Linked DNA regions of Arabidopsis thaliana. The protein of the gene in region 2 interacts with the protein of the main gene of each other region in a pairwise test. Each region holds a gene or a part of one and is shown on either strand. Other genes may lie near its edges. The genes, in order: MYB11 and BT4.

What was found.
Region 1: the proteins of BT4 (region 2) and MYB11 interact in a two-hybrid assay, tested with the Arabidopsis thaliana proteins (one large-scale study listed by BioGRID).

What each region holds. Positions count from the first base shown.
Region 1 is NC_003074.8:23,152,813-23,157,264, reverse strand, and holds MYB11 (myb domain protein 11), read right to left. Parts: upstream 2,636-4,452; 5' UTR 2,508-2,635; coding exon 2,375-2,507; intron 1,959-2,374; coding exon 1,829-1,958; coding exon of another isoform or gene 1,825-1,828; intron 1,663-1,824; coding exon 894-1,662; 3' UTR 680-893; downstream 1-679. Other genes in the region: AT3G62615 (uncharacterized protein), read left to right, coding at 1,411-1,443, 1,825-1,905; ATERDJ3B (DNAJ heat shock family protein), read left to right, coding at 3,919-3,989, 4,065-4,213, 4,309-4,444. UniProt on the Arabidopsis thaliana protein: Modulates overall growth by reducing the proliferation activity of meristematic cells and delaying development. Flavonol-specific transcription activator involved in the regulation of several genes of flavonoid biosynthesis.
Region 2 is NC_003076.8:26,930,236-26,934,834, forward strand, and holds BT4 (BTB and TAZ domain protein 4), read right to left. Parts: upstream 2,591-4,599; 5' UTR 2,295-2,590; coding exon 2,025-2,294; intron 1,885-2,024; coding exon 1,754-1,884; intron 1,646-1,753; coding exon 1,339-1,645; intron 1,264-1,338; coding exon 820-1,263; 3' UTR 705-819; downstream 1-704. Other genes in the region: AT5G67490 (succinate dehydrogenase assembly factor), read right to left, coding at 4,133-4,459. UniProt on the Arabidopsis thaliana protein: May act as a substrate-specific adapter of an E3 ubiquitin-protein ligase complex (CUL3-RBX1-BTB) which mediates the ubiquitination and subsequent proteasomal degradation of target proteins.

The DNA.
Region 1 (4,452 bases), on a different chromosome or scaffold from region 2:
CTTGATTTCAGTTTCAAAGAAAAGATATCAAATGCGAAAAGTTTTCAGAAGAAACGATGATTGGGCTTTGCATCTTTTGGTCAATTTCGTTTGGGCAGAGAGGAGAAAGAAGATAGAACAGAACGCGCACACATTTATTTTTTTGTTGAAATTGAAAACCCAATCACATGTTGCCACATCGACGGTTCTCTCAAATTCTCAAAACTCTCTCCAGAAAGCCGACTCTCTTGATTTTTATCAGTTTTAATTTATTTTTATTGTCATTAAACAAGAGAGCCCAACAATTTTTTGATTACATCCTCTCGTTGGAGATGGTCTTATAGCTTTTAATCAAAATTCAAAACGTTCATTAATTACCACTTTACCAGTGAACATTTACACACAAAAAAGAGTTGTGGTTGGCGACATGCTTTGAAATTTGCTCGGGTTTTGGTCTATTATTAGTCTATCAGAGAAACTTGTTTCTTTGAAATACTTCCACCTAGAATGCAACTAGCAAGTGTTGGACTATGTACCAATAGTGAGAATTGCTGATTCACAATATGGAACTGAATTTTATTTATATTTTTTTTGTATTTTAAATTTCTTATTATATTTGTATACATATATACGAAAGTCGAAAGATTACTTAAGTTGGCTATCAATGGTGTAATCATCAATGGATCGCTTATATGTAATTGAACTAAGAAGATCGACTTTATTTTGTTTATTTGCCACCGCCAAAATCGTATTTACACATGAAAAGAAATAAAAAAGAATATAAATACATTTAAAACTAAAAAACGAACGCTAGGGGACAAACATGTTCTATTGACAAACCGACCAGATCCTGCCACGTGGGGTCTTTGCTAAAATCTAACGGAGAAAAAGGCATATGCATGGTGTCAAATCTTTCAAGACAAAAGCCAAGCAGCCATCTTGTTTTCTTCGTCAATATCCAACGGTTCTCCAAAGTCGTTGGAGTCCCTTTGTCTGATCTCAGATTCCATTTCCTCTCCATCTAACAGCCTCGACAAAACCGAATCAAGATCCTCTTTTTCGTCCCAAAGGGTTTGACCTTCTCTCCATACAAAGTCCCAGTCAACGAAATCATCAGCCATCGTTTCGATATTTTTGTGCCCAACTGACATCCCTCCATATGGCTCAGAGTTTTTTACGTTGTTCGACTCACATGAGGACACGTGGACAGCATGAGAGTCGTCCAATAGAAAACAAGAATCGAAAATGTCGTCATTGAGACACAAAGCTCCATCGTCGCCATTAATGCTTGGGTTACAATCGCCATCGTCTCCATAACCACATGGTCCTAAACCGGGTTCCTCTGCTCCACTTAAGCTACTACTTGACAACACCATTAATGCGTCTTCTTTGTCTCCCTCTCCATTCTCTATTGTCGTAGTTGGCAAAACGATGTCACTTTTGTTTGCTTTAAAAGAATTAGGGGTTTTGTGGTTTTTAGGGTTTAGGATAAATTTGGGTTTCATGGCGGATCTGCTGGTTCTTCCAGGTCTACGCTTAGGAGGCGGAGGCGCATTCTCGACGGTATTGGCGACAGTTGGTTTTCTGAAGTAACCGTGGAGTTTACGGCTGAGATGAGAATTCCAATAGTTTTTTATTTCGTTGTCTGTTCTTCCCGGTAGATTGCTCGCAATTGTTGACCACCTGCAATTTAATTAGCGTTGACGCTATTCTTATTTTTTGTTGTAAAAACGTTTTTTTTCACGACGTTACACAGCAACAGTTTGATTTATGATTTCACGTGATAGTGTACTTTTTCTATTGGAAATATATCGACATTAATAAACTTTTGTTCAAATGAAAAAGTTACCTGGTTCCCAAAGTGGAATGCAGTTTAACAATGACGTCCTCTTCTTCGGGAGTTATGTTTCCTCTCTTGATGTCTGATCTCAAATAGTTTATCCATCTCAATCTACAGCTCTTTCCACATCTCTTTAGCCCTTTTTAAAATGTACGTCAGATTTTAATTAAGGCATAATAATGCCTGCAGCGATTACTCATCTTTTCCTAAATATTGAAATAAATTATCGTTTTATTTGTGATGTTACAGTCCATATATACATGTAAATAAAACAAGAAGGCAATTTGGTCTGAATTATCAATAAACACTTTATGTACTTTAAAATATTATGCATTCCTTATAGAAACTGATACATTAAATAGAAAAAAAAAAAATCAAGTCTCTATTTTAATTTTTTTTACAACTCATGGTGTATAATTGAACCGTACGTAAGATTAATTAACTTCTCGATGCATATAGATTCTCTTATAAATTTTGACCAAACAAAAAAACTATCTTATGAGATGCATGCGATAGTCGAGAGACAGAGTACTGTATAGATAAAAAAAACTTTACCGGCATTTTTGGGAAGAGAACGCCATGATCCTTCGCCGTTGGACTGAATGTAGTCGGAGAGAGTCCGGTCTTCCTCCGCCGTCCAGCGCCCCTTCTTAATTCCTACCTTCTCACAGCACGGCGCCCTTCCCATTCTCTCGGCCGGCGATTATTAAAAATCACTCACTTCACTTGTTCCTAAAGTCAATCACTAGAGAAAGAGATTATTTAAAGAGAAGTAAAGTGACGACACAACAAAAAGTGATTGGTTTAGTATTAAATATTTATAGGAGTGACATGCAAGAATAGAGAGGAGTGGGTTATATATTCAGGTGATAGAACGAGCCACGTTTGTCTATGTTGAAACAAAAGTCGTAGGCGCTCATCATAGGTCGAGAGCTACTAACCAGCTGTCCAGCTGGGTCGTCCTAGTGTCTCTAATTAGATGCTAACTATAGTTTTTAAATACTAGTTATACATTTTTTTTTTTTTTAAATACTAGTTATACATTTATTATTTCTGACTTGTTTCTAATCATACTGCTCAATTCGGATTCAGTTAATCATCTAACAATTAATAAAATCATAAGCGTAATACTTTCTCAATATTTTACTTCGTATCGTGGAAAATATGTAAACACCAATTTTATTTAGTTTACTATTGTCAGCAACGTTTCTTTATTTTTCAATGGACAGTAAAATGGTATTAGTGGGGGATCGGGACCACTCGTGTGAGATGTCTAGTTATTATTGTATGTCTAGTAAATAATGTTTCGTCGAAGATGCGAAGAATCAAGAGACCTGACATATGACATGATTGTCCAAACCAGTCTATGTTTCTTTGCATGTAATTAATAAGCAACAAAATATGTATTTATTACTTAACCACCTTTTTTTGTTTTATACTCCAGTAGTGTTTAACCAATGCACAACGTAATGTGTGACTAAGATAGTCTAGATTATATAAAGATTAAAGAAATAAATTTTCTCATAGCAGCGGTTTTGTCATTATATTAACAAGTTTAATATGGTAGGTACAAAATCCATAATGCATAAATATGCAAAACTAGTTTGGATCTGGCCTCCCCAGATCGGTTTACATAAAACAATCTCGATTTTGTATGGGCCCAGTAACCTAGGGTTTTTAATCGGGTTAGGCCACATTTATTGAATAACAATCGTAGGGGAGTTACAGGCCCGCTTCATTATTAATGCGCCTTGTATAGATTATATGAGTATAACGACGTCGTACTCATTAAAGTCGACGAAAAGAACAGTCAGCGATTCGACGTTGGTTTATCCACGTGGCTAATATTTATTGGTTACGATCGTCAGAGACTTAATCCTGATTGGTTAAGCATTGCAGTGTACACGTAACCCGACCACGAGGCTCGAGTTTTGGAATCGTTTCCACGAAAACAAGTAGAGAGAGTGATTCGAGTTTTCCAATCATAAAAATCAGCGAAGAAGATCTTCGTTCTTGTTCATTCTGTGAGGTTTCATTGTTAAAATCGAAACGAATCTCAGGTTGGAGTAATCCTTGGGAGAGATCCGATTTCCGTTTCCATGGCGATTCGGTGGTCGGAGCTGTGTATCGTACTGTTCGCTCTTTCCTACGCCATCTGCGTCCTTGCCGGGTAAGAACATCTTTCGATTCCTTCAGAAATGTGTGGAAAATGTGAATGCTTAGAAAATCTGTGTTGTGGATTTAGGAAGAGTTACTACGATGTGTTGCAAGTCCCGAAAGGTGCATCTGATGAACAGATCAAGAGAGCTTATAGGAAACTAGCTTTGAAGTATCATCCCGATAAGAATCAAGGAAATGAGGAAGCGACTCGCAAATTCGCTGAGATCAACAATGGTATTTTCGTTTTGCAACTTGTGTGATTCTGCTCTCTTTGTTAACTCACCCGTTTTTAGTTTTGAGAATTGACGTATTGGTGTTTGATGTAATAGCTTATGAAGTGTTATCGGATGAGGAGAAGAGGGAGATATATAACAAGTATGGTGAAGAGGGACTTAAACAGTTTTCTGCAAATGGAGGAAGAGGAGGAGGAGGAGGCGGCATGAATATGCAGGACATCTTCAGCTCGTAAGTTT
Region 2 (4,599 bases):
TTTCTTACACCAAGACACGAAGAATTAAATTGGTGTTTCTCAAGCCGGAGGAGATATCAGACATTGAGTTGGTTTAGTCGGAGAACACGGCCGTTTATAGAGTAACAAACACTATTAAAGTCTATAAATGATCAAATTTTCGTAACAAATAAGGAACCTTTTTTTTCTTAGTTTTTTATTTGTCAGCAATTTAAATATAGATAGATATATATATGAAAATTTCGTAATTTCTTGATTTTGGTTAAGTTTTGTGTTTCTTTGTTGTTGAAGGAATCAGAACCCAATACGAAAGTGATTAGAAAAAGGGATTTTGAAAGGAGAAGAAAATATATACTACACATGATACGATCATTGTTGAGGATTTGGTTTTGTGACAATGAATGTTTCCAACATTACTAATTTAATGAAATAGAAACATGTGATGTGAGTGAGGCCGATTTTGTGTACACTTGTACCACGTCCTCTCAGCTCTTACTGCTTTTGTCTTGTTCTACGTCACTTTTTCCCACCACGATCTTTTCGTTTCCTTTTTTCCATATTTGGATTTATTAAAAATAACAAAGCAAGTTGGGTCCTATAAAATTTGGTAGATTCTTCTTCTTCTGTTCATTTCACAACAAGATGACTCACTGAGCTTATTACCAATTTTGCCACTTAATCACTAAACCGATCCGTAGACCGGATTTGATATTCCAGAGACTCTCTTGGCCGACCAAAATATGTGTCATTTATTCAAACTCATTATGTTACACTTGTTTTAAAGATAGGATCACAAGAAACGCTTAAAACTCGCCCTTCTTGAGATTGACAAAATGTTTTTTAACAGTTTGTCACCGGTAAAAAGAAAGGAGAGCCTCCGATTTTCTTACTCCCCAATACATTCTTCACCAGAAGTTTCCATCTCGACTCATCTTTCTTGCTCTGTTTCTCCATCTTCTCCTTAAGGTTTCTGCATAGAGGGACTCGACATTGATCAGAACCTGCGCAAACACGTGAATGCAGTTCAAGGAGTTGCCACATTCTCTTGCAATGCACGCAACCTCCTGGAACTCTTAGCTTACAGCCTGCGAAATGCCGGATCAGTGATTCTAATCCCTTGCAAGCTTCATAGTTACACGTTGCATGGTTCGGTTTGAAATCTTTATCGTGTGGCCCTATTGTTTTACATCCATCTCTGCATATATGAACAAGTGCTTCCATTGCTTCGTATAGCTGCGAATATATCCTCTGATCATTGCGTTTTCTCATCCTCTCTTTCCGCGTCTGCGTTTATGTTCAAGATTTAGAATTTAGGAGAAAATACAGGGAAAAAAGGAAGTTTATTAAATCACTACTTACATTTGCTTCGATGATTACTGAGTCTCTAACTTCTTTCTCAAGAAAGGGATGGCTTTTCTTCATAGCTGTCCATGCTTCTGTCGCAGAGAGTTCGTTAAAGTGTTTCATGATCATACGGTGAGATATGAGGCTAAGCCGAGGGAAATCACACAGCAGCGCAAGCTGGAACACATCAACCACATTCTCAGTGGTAAGCAAACCATGTTCTAGATGCCATTCACAGACCCGTTTCAGCTGAGGAACCACGTACGCGTGTGACAGAAGTAGCAAATGCATGATAAACTCGTTCATTTCTTCTTTCTCATAGCTACACAAAGGAAATCAGATTTCGTCAGTGAAAAGATCATAAGACGAATGTTAAAAGAGGCAGAGCAAATAAATATAGAGAGCAAGAAGAAATGGAATTTATATATACCAAGAAGAGTAGAGGAAACGGATAAAAACTCGCACAGCATCATGAGGGACACCTCGGATTGATATTGTATGCCACTTGCCATGTCTCTTGGCTTGCTTCAACATGCCTTTGATCACAGTGGAAGCAGTTCCCTATTAATTCAAGAAAGACAATGTCCATATCAACCAAGTCTAGACCTTTCTAATCAACTGCTAAAGTCTGTATTCGCTTAGCTAAAGATCCTAACTACACATTGATAATTATGGTCAAAGGAGTTATAAGGAGAGCTTACAAGGATGTTGGCATGAGCATAGATGATACTGCCATTATCTGTATAGATGACTACATCAGCTTTGTATCCGTCATTGAAAAGACGATCCCACATATCTCTTGTGGCTGTCGAAACGCTGCTATGCCCAAGTTTTTTCTTGAGTCCATCAGATTTTGATGGAAGAGGAGGAGGAATTGGCACAGAAGATGAATCTGCAGATTTGAAAGATTGATGAAGATCAACACAACCTGTCACCATTCTCTTGTTTAGCTTATCTTCTCTTCCCTGCATCAATCAAATGAAAATATATATTGTCGATTCTTTAGCCACAGATAAACTTCATTGTCATTTCTACACGAAATATGTGACTCAGACAACAATTTTCACAGCATTATGTAACCAGATCTCATTTACGATTACAAATCGAATAGGATAAGAACAAATCTCTACATATATATTCACACGAAAATATCAATCAGAAATAACAAGAATTCTTGAAACAGATCGATAGAAAATGTAAGAACAAGAATCAATCAATGCTCTAATTTGTTCCGACATATATACCTTGAAAAGATTCAGACCACAGAATCAGGTTGCTTCGAAGAGGCAAGTCAAACAAAATTAACGAGAAAATCTTCTCCTTGGTAGAAAGAGCATGAGAAGAAACTCTCTCTATAGAGAAGCTTGAGAGATCAGAGATCTCTTACCATTATATAAACACACACACTCACAAAAACAATAGAAGACGACAAAAAAAATCCCACCGAAAGGATAATTTATTGTTTTAATTTCCTTATTATCTCACTTTTTTCTTACTTTTGTGTTCAATAATTTGAAGATATTTTCTTGGTTCATATCATCAACAGAGACACCCACCTGCGAAAATTACCCGAGAGGCGCGTGGAGTCTACGGTTACGAAACGGACGGCTGAGAATCCACGCGCCTTAACGGCCTTTTTTCCTCGTTCTTGAAAAAGCTTTCGTCAAGTTGGTTTTATTATCGGCTTTATCAATTGAAACACGACTCTGCATGTTTTTTTTTTATAAATGATTTAATTTAAGAGCCGTACAAAAACAGATCAGTGTGTCCTTTGTTTTTTTTGTTCTTGTTCGGCGTTACACAGCTCATAATTAGCTGTTCGTTTTTTCAAACTTTTATCCGTATTATTATCCTTTCTTCTTCAAAGATAAATTTAGATTAGTCTTAATTTTAACCACATGATCAGATACTCTCTTCAAAAATGTTAACTAATCGTGAATTATGTTGAGGTCCGCAAAATTGCGTCATAAATATTTTACTGGTCTCTCTTCATATTTCTTAGCTTCGCTTGAATTGATTGTTACCCTTTTTTCCCTTTTTTTCTGTGTTTACTATAATGCCACGTTTCTTCTATCGAATAATCTAAAACAGAAGAAGAAGAAGTCAAAATGCTTTTTATATGATCATTTTCTTGTATTTTTTTTTAGTTTTTGATCGGAGTAAAGTTATAAGAACTTCAAAAAAAAAAAAAAAAAAAAAATGCATGATGATGCCAATCTTTTTCTAACTTTTAAAGAGTATTGGAACATAATACATATATCATGTAAACTGATATTTTTAATTGTAATTTTATATCATATACGGATTTAATTGTAATTTGAGCATCACCCAGTTGTGCAATTGTAGTTATCACAGAAGTGCACATTGCAATGTTGTTGAACAACAGAAATACCTTGACATCATCTCACTGACCCATGCAGCCATGCCTAAACTTGGACCAGAACTCATGTAACCACCGGGTAATGTCAAACCTGAACTCTGAACTCTCAGGTTAGTTAAACTCATCTCTTGTTGTTTCCTTAATTCTAAATCATCACTAAACCTGTATTAAAGTGTCCCAAATTTTTTAGATAGAGATGTATAGATGCACATTTAACCCACCTGAGGAAGAACTTATTAACTATTACTGGAATAACAAGATCACCAGAGAATGATGATCCAAATAAAGGCAACGAATTTGAAGTTCTACTACATTTTCTTCCATTTTCTCCATTATTTTGCAAATACATAAACACATAAAACGAATTTATTTCCATTTTTCCCAGAAATATATAAGAACAAGCTAAAACACAGGGATACATGAATCCTCTCAGAAATCAGAGCATCGACCACGTTGTTCCCAATCGCCGTACCGAGTCGGTTCAGGACCTCTAGGCCCTCCAATCTCACCAGTATCTTCGTTCACAAACTCTCCACCTCCACCACCTTCTCCTTCCTCTTCTTCTTCCTTCTGCATCTGCAGATTCTGTTGAAGATTCTGATCTGGCTTCACGTCCCGGTTCAGATCCTGATTCGGAGATGGAGCTTGCGGCGGAGGAGGTGTACCGGAGCTTAGAAACCGTGACACTGGCTCGAGGAATCTAGAGGAGACGGATCGGCTTGGAGCGATCAAACGTACGATGTTGTTCGTCGCCATTGTTAGATCAGATGTGTCGGCCAAATCAAGAAAGAGATCCGACCTTCACGGTTTGTGATAGTATAGGGTTCGATAGTCATTTAGGTTGGGCCATAATTGGATAATAAGCCCAGTAGTATCTAGGCCCAATCATTTACATG